Linked DNA regions of Drosophila melanogaster. The protein of the gene in region 3 interacts with the protein of the main gene of each other region in a pairwise test. Each region holds a gene or a part of one and is shown on either strand. Other genes may lie near its edges. The genes, in order: Dip-B, CG8840 and Nulp1.

Region 1 (6,769 bases), on a different chromosome or scaffold from region 3:
TCCACTGGAGCCATTCTACTTCGAGCACGAGGAGCAGGAGATCTGCGGGAAGCTCGTAGCTCCCATTACAGATAGCTTCCAGGAGGATTACCCCAGTGTTGTAGATCGTTTTTTCACCAGATATTACTACTTCAAGGGAGATGTTCCCTACCAAGTGCTCTACCACTCCAATCGCATTTGTCTGATTTGCCTGGCTCCCGAGCACCCTGCTCTAGCTCAAGGCATCTCATCGGTCAACTTTGATATAGGGAACGTAGATCGCAGCCAGAATGTGGTCAAGGGAAAGGGTAAAAAGGGCGGAATGATCCTACAGGCGGAGTCCACCTTGGCACTGCTCACCACAGCAAATGGAGGGACTTACAAGGTGCCCAGCTGCATTCGGGGCAAGCTGGTAGAGGTGAACACCGCCATTGTGGAGGAGCCAAAGCTTCTGGAGCAACTCCCCGAGGGAGCCGGCTACTTCGCCATTCTTCTGCCCAAAATCGAAAACTGCGATGCAATCAAGGCGAGTCTTTTAACCCAGGAGCAGTATGAGGAGCGCCTAAAATCGAAAAACGAAGGTCTACCTCAAATTGAGTCCACCGGGGACCACGCTCAAAACAAAAATAAGGAGATTCAGGCGTGATTTTGACCCTTGTTTTGTTGTGCTTCTTCTATAAGGCCTTTGTATTTTAAATTAATGATTCATACATATATTATATTGCTCAAAGTCAATGAGGACTTAAATAATAATAATTTTGACAGTAAACCACAAATAATATTTTCTGAAACTTGTGAATTTTGTTAATACTTATGGTCAAATGTAATGTCGGGTCTACTATTTAATTTCCAGTAAATTTTATTTCTTAACAGCCTGTTAACTCCGGTGCATTTACAGAACTCTGCCCACTTAACAGCACGCTCCGTAATAGTTGGCAACTCAATGCAACACGTGTGGACGATAAACAGCTGTTCGGGCGGCAATTTAGTGGAAGCGAAACAAAACCAAATTCGTTAACTAAATCTTAAAAATGTCAGCTAATAAGCAAAAGAAATTGAGTACCATGGAGGTGGACCCCAACGAGGATGTCTCCAGTTCCAGCGAGGATGATGACGACGACGAACCGCATCCAGATGCCTATAAGGGAAACGAGGTAATCTAAGTGCCTCCAAAATATGAAAAGCAAATGTGTTTCAAAATTAATATCCGGCTAGGAGGTGCAAATCGACTTTGAGGGACGAGCTCCAGTAGATCCCGATGCCCAGGGAATCTCTCAACTCCTGCAGCGACTATTCCTTCGTGCCCACATCAACTGCAACCAAATGGCGGATTTGATCATAGGTGAGCACTCCAAGGTACTATCTTGATCTATCTATCAGCACAACTTTTTTTGTTTCCAGCCCAAAATTTTATAGGCAGTGTGATCTGCCAGTGCGACGACGAGGGCACCGAAAGCGAAACGGAGGACGACAACATGGTCGAGGATGGCACCATCTTTGGAATCACCTCTGTGCTGAACCTGACCGCCAAAAAGGATCAGCCCAGCATCGCCCAGTTAAGGACCTACATACTGGATCGCGCCAAGACGCACGCTTCTCCGGAGGTTCAGCAGCAGTTGAAGGAGATTCTAGACAGCGAGCAGCGCCATGTGGGATTCTTGATCAACGAGCGCTTTATCAATATCCCTGCCCAGATCTCCGTGCCACTGCTGCAGAGTTTGCAGCAAGAAATCGAAGCCGCCAAGGCCAAGAAAATGAAATACGACTTTGGCACTCTGCTGCTGCTGGTTAAGTTCTACAGGAAAGAGTCGAAGAAGGGCAAACCGGGCGAGGACGTGTACACCAACGCTGAGGATGAGTTGCTTTCGGATCGGGCTAAGTTCTCCTTCGAGTATTCCATGGCCTCTGAAACCGATTCGGGCATGTCTGGCGATTGGCTGGAAGGCGATGCCGTGATGACGCCCTACAGGAAACTCCTGGTCCTGGAGGCCAAAAAACTTCCGCAGCTTATTGACGATATACAACGCTTTATTAATGGCGAATAAATATTTTTTACATTTAAAACTGCTGTGTTATTTGGCCTTAATATAACACCCCGACAAATATCTAATTAAGAAGTAATAATGTCCGGTCTCTAACGACCGATAAGCTTCTATTTCTTTGTAGTCCCATACAAAGAGTATCAAAAATTCGAACCGAAAGCTTTCCACATCCTTTATGACAATTGGCAACGCGGGCAAACCACAAACAGCTGTCACTTGGCCGGCATTTGAAAGCTTCGCACATGCCGGCTGGTCTACTGTGAAAAAAAAACCTGGTTGCCATTCCTTTGTTTTTTGCCACTGGTTAGTTTTGGCCCAGAAACTGCATCCACCGTGGACGTGACTGGCAAGAGGAACCCACAATAACAATTCCGAAGACCGAGCGACGTGAGTAGACTTTGCCTTTATTGTTTACAAGTTATATCCGAGTTCTAGAATTACGTACATAGCGAGCATACTGGCGATTATTCATCGCTCGTGCGATTTGTTTTCATTCGAAAACGCAAGTAGCAATTAAAAAAAAAAAACCTAAAGCCCGGCTCGCTAGTAAAATGTATAAAAAGCTTGGCCACCCAGCCAGAACATTGCAAATCGTCGCGGAGAGCTATCACAATCGCTCCTTATCGCCAGCTTTCCGTTCCAGATCCCGCTCCCAAGTTTCCAGTTTCCAGCTGCAGCGCTTTGTTCCCATCAGGGAGGTTCAGTGACGCCCCACTTGCCGATCAACCAAGTCGCGTGAGCTGCCTGCGAAAAAGTACTCATCATGGGTATCGAAAAGTGAGTATTTATTACCAACAGTTATTAGAGGGTGTGTTTTAAGTTAGCGCGGATCAGTTATCTAGCCACCGCTTAGCGACCGATTGGAAAAGCTCTCAAAGATTCGCCATCTTTTACAGTGAGGGTTAGTCGCTTAGCATCCATCAATTGCTATCTTATTTACCTTTCCCATAATTCCAAAACGAAATTAGAATGTTTTTAGTACTGCATATCTCAGCGTTTATCAGTTTTAATTAGTTGCCGGCAAGGAATAGATGTCATGAAAATTCCAAACTTTATCTTTTCCCAAAATAAAAACAATGTTTGGCGAAATACTGTATAAAAGTTAAAGGGGGGAGGTCACTTAATTTTATCATTATTACTTAGATAACGAGTTCTTGCTACTTCTGGAAACAGATATATATAGATCAACTTTTATTGTTTGATATGGGGCACTTCAAAAGATAACACAATTAAATGGTCAGCGACATAGGATTATTCTCCAAAATATTATAGACCCAGTTACCTAAGGATTGGTATTTAGTAGAAACACTTGAATAAGATTACAAATATTCTAAATAAGTACTTTAACACCATTTGTGCTAATACTTGGTACACTTGTTTCTAAATTGGAAATCGGTTTGTGATTATGGTCATTTCGAAAGCTTATCGCGATTCTTTATAGCACTTCGAGTTAAGATAAGCCCAGCGCCAGGAATGAGGGTAAACGAAAGGGGAACACACTGAAACATGGCCATGGTTGCTCCTAATACAGTGGGGACATTTTCTTTTGAAATAATAAATTGAAATACAAAGGCAACAGGCTGTTATGCAATATGAACGACTGCATCAGTTAATAAAGCAAATGTGACGTGATAAAATTCAATTCAATTAAACGCTATTGCACATTTAGTTGACACCCAGAAATGTTTCTTAATGAATACCAATAACGATTCCGTTGCGCACTTTAACTCTACTCTACGTGTGCCCCTCCAGAATTCTACCATGCACCCTCCGGCTGAACAAGCTGATGAGTCTGGCCGGCAACGACTGCCTGTGCATCATCGATCGCAATGCGGTTCCCAATGAACTGAAGGCCACCTTCGAGGAGCACCGCAAATTCGACAAGTCCTTCGACAGCAGCATATCCTGCTTTAAGGTGCCCAACGTGGATCAACCTGTGGTCTATGCCCCCGTCTCCGAGCTCACCGACTACGACGATGTGAGGAGCTACCAGGAGGCGGCCAAGCGGTCCATGGAGAAGGTTCTCAAGGTGGGTTTTTTTTTTCTATACATATTGTGTGAATTATGAAAGAAAATGTATATGTATTCTTTGCCAGGCTGGATTCCACACGCCGTTGCTGTTTGTGCCCAAGGTTAAGCGCTTCCCCGAGGTCGAACTCTGCACCGTTCTGGGAGCTCTGGAGCAGCTTTATGTGGTAATATGGATTATGTTTACTTTTATTTCAATCAATGTGCTAAAACACGTTTTTTAGCCCATTCAATTGCGCGAGGCAGGAACTTTGAAGGACCCCCGTGTGACCACGCTCAGTGTCCAGATCGATGATCCAAGGGCCGAAGCTATTTTCCAGGAAGCTCTCATTCTGGAGGCCGGTCGCTTTGTGGCCCGCGACATCGGAGTTGGGGACCCGGAGCGCATGACGCCCATCCAGGTGGAGAAGTACATCAAGCCGTTGTTCGACAAGCTCAACGTGAATGTGATCAGTGACACCCAGGTGTTGCAGAAGGAGTATCCCCTGTTTGCCGCCGTAAACCGGGCTGCTGATGCAGTGGAGCGTCATCGTGGTCGCATCATTTTCCTGGAGTACAAGCCTCCAAAGCCGGCGAGAAAAACTCTGATGCTGGTCGGCAAGGGTGTTACCTATGACACCGGTGGTGCTGACATCAAGGCCGGTGGTGTGATGGCCGGTATGTCGCGCGACAAGTGTGGAGCGGCTGCTGTCGCTGGATTCATGCAGGTGGTCAGTCAACTGCAACCGGATGATATCCATGTTGTGGCTGCCCTGTGCATGGTGCGCAATTCCGTGGGCGAGGAGTGCTACGTGGCCGATGAGGTTATCACCTCGCGAGCTGGTCTTCATGTGAGGATTGGAAATACTGATGCCGAGGGTCGCATGTGCATGACCGATGCCCTGTGCCGCATGAAGGAGTTGGTCGTGGAGCAGAATCTCCCGGATCCGCATCTTTTCACCATTGCCACCTTGACTGGTCACGCCTTCATCTCGGCAGGTGAGGGTCAGTCGATTGCCATCGATAACAGCGTGGCCCATCGGGAGGATCACGCCAGAAGACTGCAGGCTGCTGGACAGGCCTTCGGAGAGCCCTTCGAAGTGTCCATTCTCCGTCCCAGTGACTTCTCTTTTAACGCTGGAAAGGTGATTGGCGAGGATTTGGTGCAGGCCAATAATGCCCCGTCGGTGAGGACTCCTCGCGGTCACCAGGTGCCCGCCGCCTTTATGATTAAGGCTTCTGGACTGGACAAACACGGGTTGGATTCAATGCTGCCCATTAAGTACACCCATATTGATATCGCCGGCAGTGCCGGTGAGCACCCAGCGATGCCCACAGCTGCCCCTCTTGTTTCCCTGGTGAAGACCCATCTGCAGAAGTAAATCATGTCCACCTAATATTCAGGAGGATGTGTACACGATCACCACAAACAGTACTTATACACCCACGTGCTTAGCTAACCAACAATATTATCCTACTAACTGCATCACTGTTTTTTAATAAAGGCAAAACCGAGTTCAGATTGTATTCATAAATGTATGTCACTAATTTGGTAATCGTTTACAAATAAATGTGAAAATGATTTGTTTTTTTCCTTAAGCTTACAAAGCAAATATCTCATTATATTCATCAACATGGAAATATAAACATTATATCATCCCATTATAGAGAATAACCACCCTACATATATTTGTTAAGTATACAAGAAAGCCGCGTGGGTATTCGGTCTTTTTTATTTCTTTTTTATTATTACTGCATTTCCCAGCTGCATTGTTTGCATAATTGGCGGGTGCCCTGCATTTCGAGCTCTTGTTGGCCATCTACGGTATGGCTCGTACTCCTGCTCTTCCCCTTTCGCAGCCTTTTCTCTTCAGCTTTGCAGCGCCTTCTTTTTTTGTAGCTTGGCCCACAGCCTAGAACCCGTTAGTCGCTTCTTGGCCATGCTCTTCGCTTTGGGCCCCGTTCCCGGGAGCTTGGCCCAGCAACTTGGCGTGGATTGGCTTGGTTGGGGGATGGGGATGTGGATGGGGCCCGCTTGTCAGCTGTCGCATGTGTCTTGGTACCGTTATTGCCTGGCTTTGGAAACTCGGTCAAGAGTGTCTCATTCATGCTGTGATTGCATAATATACCGTTGGCTCCCGTTGGCCTTCTTCTGGCTTCTGACTGCGGCCTCTTCCCGTTCTTGGCCGTTCTCCCGTACCAATACCAACTTGGTTCCAACCTCTTTCTCCATCTGCGATGGGTGCGCTTCTGGGTAATTTATTGACAGTCACACTGGCCACTTTTGGTCATCTGGCCAAGTCGGAACACTTGGACTCTGACCGGGCTAACGGTACTTATTATTGATGAACGCAAAAGTCTTTTTCGTTGACTTGTCTCCCATTTACAATCCGTTAGTGTGAATTTATTGCCAAGGCGGCACGAACCAAGAAGAAGGCCTCAGCAGCAACAGAAGTGGGAGAAAAGAGGGAAGATCTCTGGTCTTGGGAGGCTTTCTGGCTTCTTGACCACTTAACGGACCATCAGTTGACCTGATTATGGCAGGACTGGTTCCTGGACGCTTCCTGGCCACTATCCGCCAAATCTGGTTCATGCGGCAGATGATTAATCGATTTTATTGGCATCCATTTTTATGGGCTTGTATTGAGATTGCGGAAAACCGTATGGCGTATATTTGTGGTTAAAGAAATCGTCAAAAATCTTACACGTAAAATTATAGCGATCTTAACGTAGTTTAATTT
Region 2 (3,996 bases), on a different chromosome or scaffold from region 3:
TAAAGACTTGAGTGAACTTGGTAAGCAATTTGAGAAAACAAAAAGAGATATTTTTAAAAGTTCAAAACCACATTTCTTGGAATTATGTTCAGAAACTACTATGGAAAATGGGTAATAGATATTACACCAGAAAATTGCAAAATAATGCAATGTTTTTTCGTTTATTCCAATGAAATTCGATACACTTTCTGGTAAATAAACTCTATGGCATTCCTCTTGAGAGTGGGCCAAATCGTCTGGCCGAGAACAGACGAAAAACAAGATTTCTGGGCCCATGATGGCATGTGGCATAAACAATATCTATTTTCTATCTGGGTTCGAGTTCAATGGTCACATTGTTGGCTTGTTTTTCAGCCAGCCGACGGAAGGGGCATATGTCAATATTTTTGGTTTCGAATGGCGTGCAGAGACTTTTAATTGAATTCTGTTGTTTTTTGGTGTTTTTTTGATTCTGGGAGTGGCGCCCAAAAAAAAAAAATAAACTCTGATTTGTAAGGCAGCAAAAGAAACGGAAAACACGAAACAGATTGCAATAAATGATAAAGTTTGGTCCAATCGCCTCTTCGCATTTTCTTGCATGCTCTATGGGAGAAAACTAAATTTGATACGTTCCAATTACTAAATTATGCAGTTAGGAGCTCTTTCGATGTGAAAATCATTCACCTGGAAGACTGCACACACCCAGACCATGGAGAAGTGGGAAAAACACGAAGACCCAACTGAAGATTAAAGAAATCGCCGCTCTACTATCGCCCAAAACAAACAGAAAACAGAATAAAACCAAATAATGGTTAGGCTTGAGTGATTATGGAGGAGATTATAAAAGCAAATTAAATTTGCAGAGAGACTGCAATAGAGGAAAGTAGGAAAATTGTCACTCAACTTAGTAACCCAAGTTGCTCAAATATTCTAGCAAAACTGCGCTTGATTTTCAATTTGTATATATTTAACTCACATACCAACTATTTAGTATAAACCATTGGTTTATGAAAGACGGAAAGTATTAAATTATGCTAAATCTAGTCGGCGTGCTCGCCATGGCCAAGTTCCTCGCAGGCCCGCTTCTCGGCCCCAATCTCGGCCAGCATTTTCTGGGTCTCGCGGGCCAAATTGACCAGGTTGTGGAGCCTGGTCTCCAGGGTATAGATTCGCCTTTGCTGGGCTTCGATAAACCTCCCATAGCGATTGTTGACCTCCAAACGGGACTCGGCCAGATTACGCCAGTAGTCTATGTCCTTCACCTCATGAAATGATGATGCCTTCTTGAGGTTTCCGATCAGAGTCATTATAACTTTGGCCAGGGATCGAAAGGAGACGCGAGTTGATCTCTTGTGTGTCCTTGGAACTGCCTGGGATGCCAGCGACTTGGATATAATGTCATCGATAACAGAATCGGCGGAATAGTCCGATTTCAGGGTCAGCTCCATGGAAGCCATCAAAGAATTCAGCTGCAAGTACGGAACTTGATCAGAGTTCAAATAGAAATCTTACTAATTTTGAAAGTATTTTGTATTGTCTTATGTAGTACAGTAAGGTATACTGTAGAAATCAGGCAGATATCCTATTCAAAGCCTGCTGTGCTATAAAAATAATCTGAAAAACAAAGTTCCTTTAAATCTACATAAATATATAAATGCATCATTGGTATCCTTTTAAGTATTTATAGCAATTTAATGGAGTTAGCCATTCGCAGATTATTATCTTTGCTCACAAATCATCGAAATGGCCAAATAAAGACAAGCTTCATCAGAACGCCATAAAATCGTATCACAATTTCCATATTTTCTCTGTGACCCCAAGCAAAAAAACAACAATCAATGCCATCCAATGGCTATGAACTCAATTCAAAACAATTCGTTTTTCTTTGCTCTTTCATCTGAATTTGGCTGGAAACATTGAACTCGAGCAGTAAACCCAGTGATGACCATTTATAGCAACTTGTTGCTCTGGTTTAGCATGACGCCAAAGTTGATGATAGTTTTTTATTTTTTTTTTTGCCAAATTGTAATAACAAGTCGCAGAAAACTAGAATTTGATGAGTGCCAAGTAGTTGATTTGGAGTCTTGACTTTGACCTTTTGAGTGGGCAAAAAGTTTCGTCTTTCCCTTTTGACGTCAGTGGCATAATTTTCCAGTCATTACTCTCCCGAGGATTTCCATAAATAGATACTATTTGCAGCGAGACTTGTTCTTCCCAAAGGACAAATAAATTTGCAAATGGAGAGGAAAGTTTGCATTTTTATCGTCCACCATTCTGTGATAAAAATAACTCAGCGAATTGAGTCGGATTTCTGATTAATTACAATAGCTCTGGCTCATTTGGCAATACGACTAACCAAAGGTTGCAGCTGCAATTTTCTGGATTACAAAGCGTTTCCGTTGGCTTAAAGCTTAGTGCTCACGCTGCGTATGCGTAATGCGTATGTGGTGGCCTATGCGAGAAATGAGGACACCACCCTCGAAGTGTTTGACATGTGAAGGCGAAACTGCTAAGGAGTTGCAGTAGGGGGTCATGATATTGAAACCATATTAATGTAAGGCGGAACGCTTTGAAAGCGAATTCTACGAACGATTATTTTCAAGGCCAAGACGAAGTTATTTTCGGGATATGTGGCCTTCTATATAAGTAAATATAATTACAGGGAACAAGCTCTATCCATTTATTTTCGTTTAAGTCTGAAAAGGTCTGCCAGTTAAATCCAAAGAATCCAACATCTGCTACGCAGCCAACCTTTTACAACTACTTGGCTGGCTAACTGACCCAGCTAAATTGACAAATGAATCATTTCACTCCGCTAAACAGTGACCGAATTTAGGAGGTCCTGGAAGAGGGTCCTTATATCACGGTCGGTTATTAATTGCCCTTTTGCGTTGAATCTATTTGTCAAGAGTTTTGTCAGAAGCTCCTTTATCGGCGGCCCTCTAACTCTGATTTATGTGTGGCAAACGTATTGAAAGCGATTTCCTTTCTTTTTTAGCTGACTTTGGCACTTTGCGTTGCACGTTGCGTATGCGTGATTTTAATTTTAAGTGGAGCCACTTTTTTTTCTGGCTCTTTGTTGCCTGCTTTTATGGGTCTTTCTTAGCCTGAAATATGTTGCCTTTTAGCTGAAAATTTGGAAGGCGTATTCAACACTAAGCTTACCCTTTATTATATTTGAATGTGCTTTTTATGCATAGCTTTCTTTGACACGCCAGATTTCGCTCGACAGCTCTTCCATTTAAAATGTTTCGTGCTTCATCGAGCTTGCCATTATAAATTATTTACTTTGAATGTCCTCAAGCTGAGACGACCCATCCATTTTATTCGGCTTTATAGGAGTGAGTATTATATATAAGACTTGGTCTCAAGGCTATTTCTGTGTCTGCTGTGTGGCATTCTTGTCCTTGTTTTGTCTGTATTTTAAAAGAACCAGACACATTCTTACGTTTTGTTTTGTTTGGTTATCGACAGTTGTCAGGTCTGGTTTTTTGTGACTTACTTAAGGGAGAACAGCACCAGCTAGCTATTCAACCAATAAATTTATAAGGAATTTAAAGAGGCCGCCCATTTCGTAATTACTAACCACACTGTTTTATTTTTAAAGGCTTTCAAAGTTTTGGGCAGGAAATATTACAGGCCGCTCTGTAAAAGGTTTTCCGTGTTATTTTAGAACGAGTGTCGCCGAGGAATCTTGGACATTGTTTAAACTGGGTCGTGGTCGTGGCCTGGGCTTTTGTTTCTCAGTTCCTGGCAACATTTGCAATTTATAGATTATTAATCTTGAAGCAAACACGAACAGTATTCGCAATGCTTTTCCATTCTGGTCTGTTGTGTTTCGGGCTGAAACTTTAGAGAAACTTTGCCGTAAGCCTGCACGAGAACCAAACCCTTTTCATTCCCTTCCTGCACTGCGGAAAATTTTTCGCACCTTGTACGTAGAACTTTAATGGCTTTCTATATTAATTTTTATGAGCATTTTTTTGAGTGTAAGAGTATTGCTCCCAGTTGAGTTGA
Region 3 (6,194 bases):
TCCACTGTCGGAAATAGTGGATAATGTCATCCAAAACTGCCCAATCGATGTGCGGCGTCCTCTATACAATAACATTGTTCTGAGCGGTGGATCAACGATGTTCAAGGACTTCGGCAGGAGGTTGCAGCGAGATATCAAGCGATCGGTGGACACACGTCTCCGGATCAGCGAGAATTTGTCCGAGGGACGCATTAAGGTGGGTGATATCACAGCTGCTAATGAGTCATACTTCTTACTTTGATTATTTTTGTTACAGCCAAAACCCATTGATGTTCAGGTGATTACGCACCACATGCAGAGGTACGCCGTGTGGTTTGGAGGCAGCATGTTGGCTTCAACGGTAAGTTATAGTGGCCTAAGATCCGTAAAATCCTTTATCTCAATATTCTTCCCATTTCTAGCCCGAGTTCTATCAGGTGTGTCACACGAAGGCTGCCTACGAGGAGTATGGCCCCAGCATTTGCCGTCACAATCCCGTCTTTGGCACCATGACATAATTGATCCGATCCAATCGGCTTGCAGCAGTTATTTTTGATTTATTTTTCCATTTAAAATTGATTTATTGATTTATTCTCCAACTATATATATATATATATACATTGCGATTCGGTATTCCACGCTAAAGTATTAGTAATTATTCTTTTCTATATGTGTTTAGCTATTAACTCTGTGTAAATCAGTTTCGTTCTGTTTAATTTCGTGTGATTTTGTTAGGCTAACTATAAAGCAACAACTCCGATGTCTGCCAGTTCAACCCCCTATCTAAGGTGCATTATTTCTAGAAGTCGACTTTTATACCATACTCAAACACGATCACACACAGTCACACCGATCTAAGCTCTTGGAGAAATCCCGGCTCTATACACAATTAAATACGAAAACGCTCTACTTGTCATAGAAATATTTATAATTGCAATAACTGCAACCAATTCAAACACTGAATGAACAAAAAAGGAAAAACGAAAAGAAATATTGATGAGAAATCTGTTTGTTATATTGATAAGCGTAATTAAAAAGGCATTAAATAAATCAATAAAACATTCTTTAAGCTCAAACACTTTCGTCGCTTTCGATCTAAAGCTTTTACTGGAAAATTTTATTCAATGCATAAGTTACATATATATATTTTTTTGTGTTCAAATTGCTCTATGTATTGTATATATAAATTTTGTGACGGTGTCGCTAAGCTGAGAAAATAGCAAAAGGTGGTTTCCAAAAAACATGTCCCGAGCTAGAAATCCGAAACAACTTCGTTACGCCTCGCGTAATTGACAAACTGACTAGTCAATGTAGTCACTGGAGCCCTCCTCCTCGTCGTTGCTGCTCGTGGATTGTGCCGCCGCCGTTTCCGGCGAACGCAAGTGCTCTGCAATCCGGAAGTTTTGCAGGAAGTCTCGCATCGCGTCCATCATTAGCGTTAATGACTGCTGCAAACCAGCTTCTGCAATAATGTTGGAGGAGAAGTGTAACTACGATATCCGCTAGCGATTCTTTTGGAATTTCAGCATAATTTTAGGTTAGATTTTTGACGATTTTAAGAATGAGAAACAAAATATCGCTTTTAGCCAAGTTATTGAAACAAAAGCCAAAGCTTTAATACAATTTCGGGATATGAACGAAATTAAGCAAAGCCATAATACAACCAGCGAAACATATTCTAAGATTCATGCTCTGTGACGAAACGGGGGCGACAAAATCGGTTTTATCTCAAGATATTTTTAATAATGCTCATACGAACCTTCTCCTTCGCCAGCTACGCCGGCAGCTCCTTGTTCAATGCCCACTTCAATGTTAGCATCGCCTGCAGCTGCTCCCGCACCTGCTGCTGGTGCTGCTCCTTCTTGTAGCTGAGCATTTGCAGCTAGGTTGTTAATGTTAAACGAAGGCAAGAGCGATTGAAAGAACATTGACACAGAATTGTTCGTGTTCGTTGTGGGGCTGCTGCTTGACGAAGATTTTCTGCAAGTACTGGTTTTTAGAATTTACTAACTTTGAGCCGATTCGAACGACATACCGATGATAGCAGTTGACGCTGTTCGGTGGCGGCAGTGGATCATAGGTCATAATGGCTTGCTTCTCCTTGGACACGAAGACCGCCAGTGGAACTTTCTCCTTGTAATCGGAGAGTATGACATGTCGAAGAATGGGCCTTGGTGGTGTTCCACTATATCGCAGTGATCGCTTCTCCTTGTACTCATTAACCAGGGGATCCTTACTCTCAATGCGATCTAACACTATGTTCACGTTGGATTCCAACCAGGGTAGCACCTCGTTCTGACGCCAAACGACTCTTGCACGGCACACATACAGGCACACCAGCTGGTGCAGGGCGGGCGATTGACTGGTAAACAAGATAAGACATTAAATTCCATACCACTAATCATTCACGGAGATAAGACTCCACTTACTTGCCCGACACATCTGCAAAGAAGTACGATGAGGCCAGGACCCTCTTGTCCGTTTGCACCGACATCTCGTCCAAAAGAGGACGTAAAACACCCGGGAACATTAGTAGGGCGTATTGCAGTGCCTGGTTAGAGCGTTCACAAGCGCCATAGAGCGTGTGTAGAGCCAAAGCATACGAGTAGGCCATATTGGGCAGCTGATTGAGGTTCCTCGCGGCGTTATACTTTTCATAGAACTCTACCAACCATTCAAACTGCTTGCTGCGCAAGGCATAGTAGTCAATCACTAGAATCATGGCAAGAGGATCTGTGTCTGGCTGAAGACTCAGGAGCAGTTTGGAGATCTCGAAGGCGGTGCGGCTGCAAGCTCGTTCCTCCAGGTACTGCGCGTGCTTGAACAGCACGATGTAGAAGGATCGGTTTTCCTGTCTCCGGTAGTCCAGTCGGCAGTTGCCCGACGTCAAACTGAAGTTGATGTGCAGCGACGATTCCAGAAGGAGAAGGGCGCGCTCAAGCAGTTCGGAGGCCAAGGAAAAGTCTTCGGTCATCTTGCATACTTCGCTGAGTTGAACCAAGGAGTCGACATGATAGGGGCAGCGTTTGATAAGTGTGATCAGAAATTCCGAGTCAATGCGCTCGAGAGCAGAAAGGAACATTTGCTGCACTCCCTGGTAGTATTGGCTATGCTCAAAGGCAAACCATTGAACGTCCGCTCCATTATCTGTGATAGACTTGGAGGACACCGATGGAGAGTCTGGGGCGGGCAGCAGCTTCATCGTGATGGTGTTTTTAGTCAGTGCCGGCCACGAATCCTTGGCGGTCACCATATAGGTGGACTTCAGCGTGGGCTTCTGCCTGCCACGCTTGGTTCTGAAAGAAAGTTTGATTGCAAGAGTTAAGTTTCAGAATGGAAGTTCTTAGCCCAGGCACTCCAAACTTACTCCACTTTTACCACCCGCTTGCCAAAAGTGCGACGCATCTCGTTCTGTGGATTCAGGTGCCGTAGCTCTACGGCCAGCAGTTTCTTGGTGGCAGTAGTCCCGGTGGCAGCCGATACCAACTGTTTCGCCGACTGTCTGGGCACCGCATCGTAGACCTTGCCAAGGAGCGGATCCACCTTCTCAAAGTACTTATCCTGACGCTCGTTATCTTCGCTGCTGATGTGATTCCCACTGGACTTGGCCTTCTTCTTGCGCTTCTTTTTCTTCTTTTTGGCCGCACTGGCAGTAGCATTGGGCAGGGCAGCAGACGGATGCTCCGTTTCATTGTCATCTTCTTTGAACTCACTCTCCGAGAGACTCAAACCGGCTTGATTGAGCTAGAAAATTTGTGGGAACGGAGGATTATGCAGTTCATTCGGTGATGAGCTGGCTATTTTTTAATAGCGGCCTACCAAATCGAATGGATTAAGGTGTGATTTTCGATAGCGTTGCATATCGCTGTCCTCCAGTTCATCATTGTCGCTCAGCTCCTCGCAGTCCTCGTCATCGGGCGGTGGCGCCAGCTTGTCAGCGTCGCCCTGCAGCTTCTTCAGCATTCGCGCAGACATCCTTCAAGTGTCCTTATACCCCTTAGCAGGAATTCTATTTAATTTCGTCGCAAAATACGTGTGTATTTCGCTGTTTTTTTTTTCTTCACCACATTCGCTTTCGCACGGCTGCAGGGTTGCCGAGCTCTGTGGCCACGCGCGCTTCACAGCACTGGCCTAGACAGGTGGTCCCGTCTTGGCGGGAATTGAAAAAGAAGTTCTAAATTTTAGCAAGTGCTATACACCTATACGCCTTGCCTGTAGAAGTTGGATCAAACTTGACGTGTTATTCACAGAAATTTTAATAAGTTTACTTTTTGTCTCTTCATAAAGTGAAATAGGAAAAAGCATTTTAAATTGTTTTGAAAAAATTTATTTTTATTCGACATTTCCTATTTTAAACTTATTTACTTCTAGTAAAGTGAGAATATAACATCTTACGCATTTATTGGTATACAAGCATAAACTAATTATCTATCTCAAAATAGAATATGCAACCAAAATGTCCTTTATTGACAAATAATTTTCGTACAATTTCGGTGCAATTTACTGCCTTATGTTCTAAAAACTGCCATGATAAGGAATTTACAAACGAGTCTTGCCATAATAGGCGCCTGCGACAGCGGACAGTATAATGATTACTATGGCGGCCATGTAGAAGAAAGTGCGCCCAATCGCCTGGTCACGCAAGCCGTCGATCTGGTCTGTGAGGGCCATATGCTCGTCCTCCAGCATGCTGACTTGCTTGAGCAACTTGGCCATTGGCTCACTGACTTCCTGGGCATCAAAATGGACCTCTCCGTCCTTGTTGTCCGTGGATATTACAGCTGAACCTCCCGCCTGACGGAAATCGTCCTCCTTCGAAGGGACTAGCTCACATTTGATCTTGGTTTCCCGAGTTTCATTCGGGTTCTGCATCTTCCAAAACTCCTGCACATCGCTTATGTCACCAGTCACCTCGGCGGCCAGGAGAAGGAACTTATGACGCTTCTTTATCTGCTCCTGCAGAATTGGCTGCATGAATATGTCAACGCTGACCTTCTGCTCGGGCCCCAAGACACCGATGTTGGGGCGTACATAAAAAAGTTTTGGAGTGGTGGTCTTCATCTTGAAGGCCATTCGCTGGGTCTTACTGGTGTTCTTGATGACTAGCTTCCTGCTCACCGAGCGGTTGAATGGTCCCTCAAAGACGATCACATCGCACGGGTCTAGCGCAAGTTTGCTCTCGGTATTGTCGGACATATTGGAATATTTGTACCTTTTTATTTTTCAAAAAATCGGAAGCGATATGAACTGGAACCGATTATGACCAATATATGAAAAAATGTGGTACCAAATGAACACGTTCCCTGACAATGCCGTAGTGCAAATGACAGAAAAAGGAATGTGAAACTTTCCATTTCAGGGCTGAATTGAGTTCACATATTGCTTGATTTCGTATGAATTCAACTTTTCTGGTGTGGACACACTGGTCGGTTTTGAAAGTCATATGCGCAGCATCACTATTATAGATTGCAGCTATTAGCTTATGTTGCTTAAAGGAATGTCTTAAAAGCTATATTTTAGGCTAATTTCATAAATTATATACAAACCTGTCTTTAAATAATGTTCAAAAACTTTTTAGAACTTTTGCAAATTGTAGTTTTTTGTATTTGTAAGTTCAAGATGTTTAGATAACAACATGATTTCGAGTTTCAGATCGTTCGTTTTATTTGTTTTTTGTTTTATTAAATATTTACAAAAATTCGATACGTTTGTGTGACTGAATGTGTGTCAGGTGGGGGATGGTCCATCATTTACCAAAATATCATGCGCCCGGCATTGGGGGAGGTGGCCTTGGACAGAATGATGCCCGAAAGTTCCTCGTCCTCCATTTCGTTGCTGTTTCGAGTGGGAGGAGGTATGGGTAAGATACAAATTAAAAAATGTTTGACAGGACTCTTTCGATTTATGCAATTATATACACGTTTATTGGTATCGCTATTTGCTTTGATTGCTTTCTTTCTTTTTTTTGTTGCTTGCTTGGTAATAAATAACAATGAATGTTGGTTGTCGAGACGGCGGATGCTGAGTGTAGGCATCGTATTAATCTCACGGTGTGCGATGATGGGTTTTTCGAAATCGAAATCGATTCGATTTGGTGGGTGGGTGCTTTTGTGGGCGGGGGCAGTACAACAGGCACAACGATAACAACAGTTACAACGGATTGCGGTAGCCAATTTCGCTTTTATGGTCTACAAAAAAGTCCGGATATAGAGAAA

What was found.
Region 1: the proteins of Nulp1 (region 3) and Dip-B interact in a two-hybrid assay, tested with the Drosophila melanogaster proteins (one large-scale study listed by BioGRID).
Region 2: the proteins of Nulp1 (region 3) and CG8840 interact in a two-hybrid assay, tested with the Drosophila melanogaster proteins (one large-scale study listed by BioGRID).

What each region holds. Positions count from the first base shown.
Region 1 is NT_033777.3:13,780,044-13,786,812, forward strand, and holds Dip-B (dipeptidase B), read left to right. Parts: upstream 1-2,244; 5' UTR 2,245-2,408; intron 2,409-2,596; exon of another isoform or gene 2,597-2,651; 5' UTR 2,652-2,784; coding exon 2,785-2,798; intron 2,799-3,773; coding exon 3,774-4,050; intron 4,051-4,117; coding exon 4,118-4,216; intron 4,217-4,273; coding exon 4,274-5,410; 3' UTR 5,411-5,633; downstream 5,634-6,769. Other genes in the region: CG9288 (uncharacterized protein), read left to right, coding at 1-625; CG9286 (uncharacterized protein), read left to right, coding at 1,011-1,133, 1,195-1,321, 1,381-2,024.
Region 2 is NT_033779.5:3,408,130-3,412,125, reverse strand, and holds CG8840 (uncharacterized protein), read right to left. Parts: upstream 1,567-3,996; 5' UTR 1,437-1,566; coding exon 1,020-1,436; 3' UTR 927-1,019; downstream 1-926.
Region 3 is NT_037436.4:8,108,259-8,114,452, reverse strand, and holds Nulp1 (nuclear localized protein 1), read right to left. Parts: upstream 4,086-6,194; 5' UTR 3,955-4,085; coding exon 3,799-3,954; intron 3,724-3,798; coding exon 3,347-3,723; exon of another isoform or gene 3,276-3,346; coding exon 2,409-3,275; intron 2,342-2,408; coding exon 2,015-2,341; intron 1,960-2,014; coding exon 1,739-1,959; intron 1,672-1,738; coding exon of another isoform or gene 1,658-1,671; exon of another isoform or gene 1,442-1,657; coding exon 1,281-1,441; 3' UTR 1,047-1,280; downstream 1-1,046. Other genes in the region: Arp3 (Actin-related protein 3), read left to right, coding at 1-196, 257-340, 402-497; fan (farinelli), read right to left, coding at 4,519-5,175; Sarm (sterile alpha and armadillo motif), read right to left, coding at 5,730-5,814.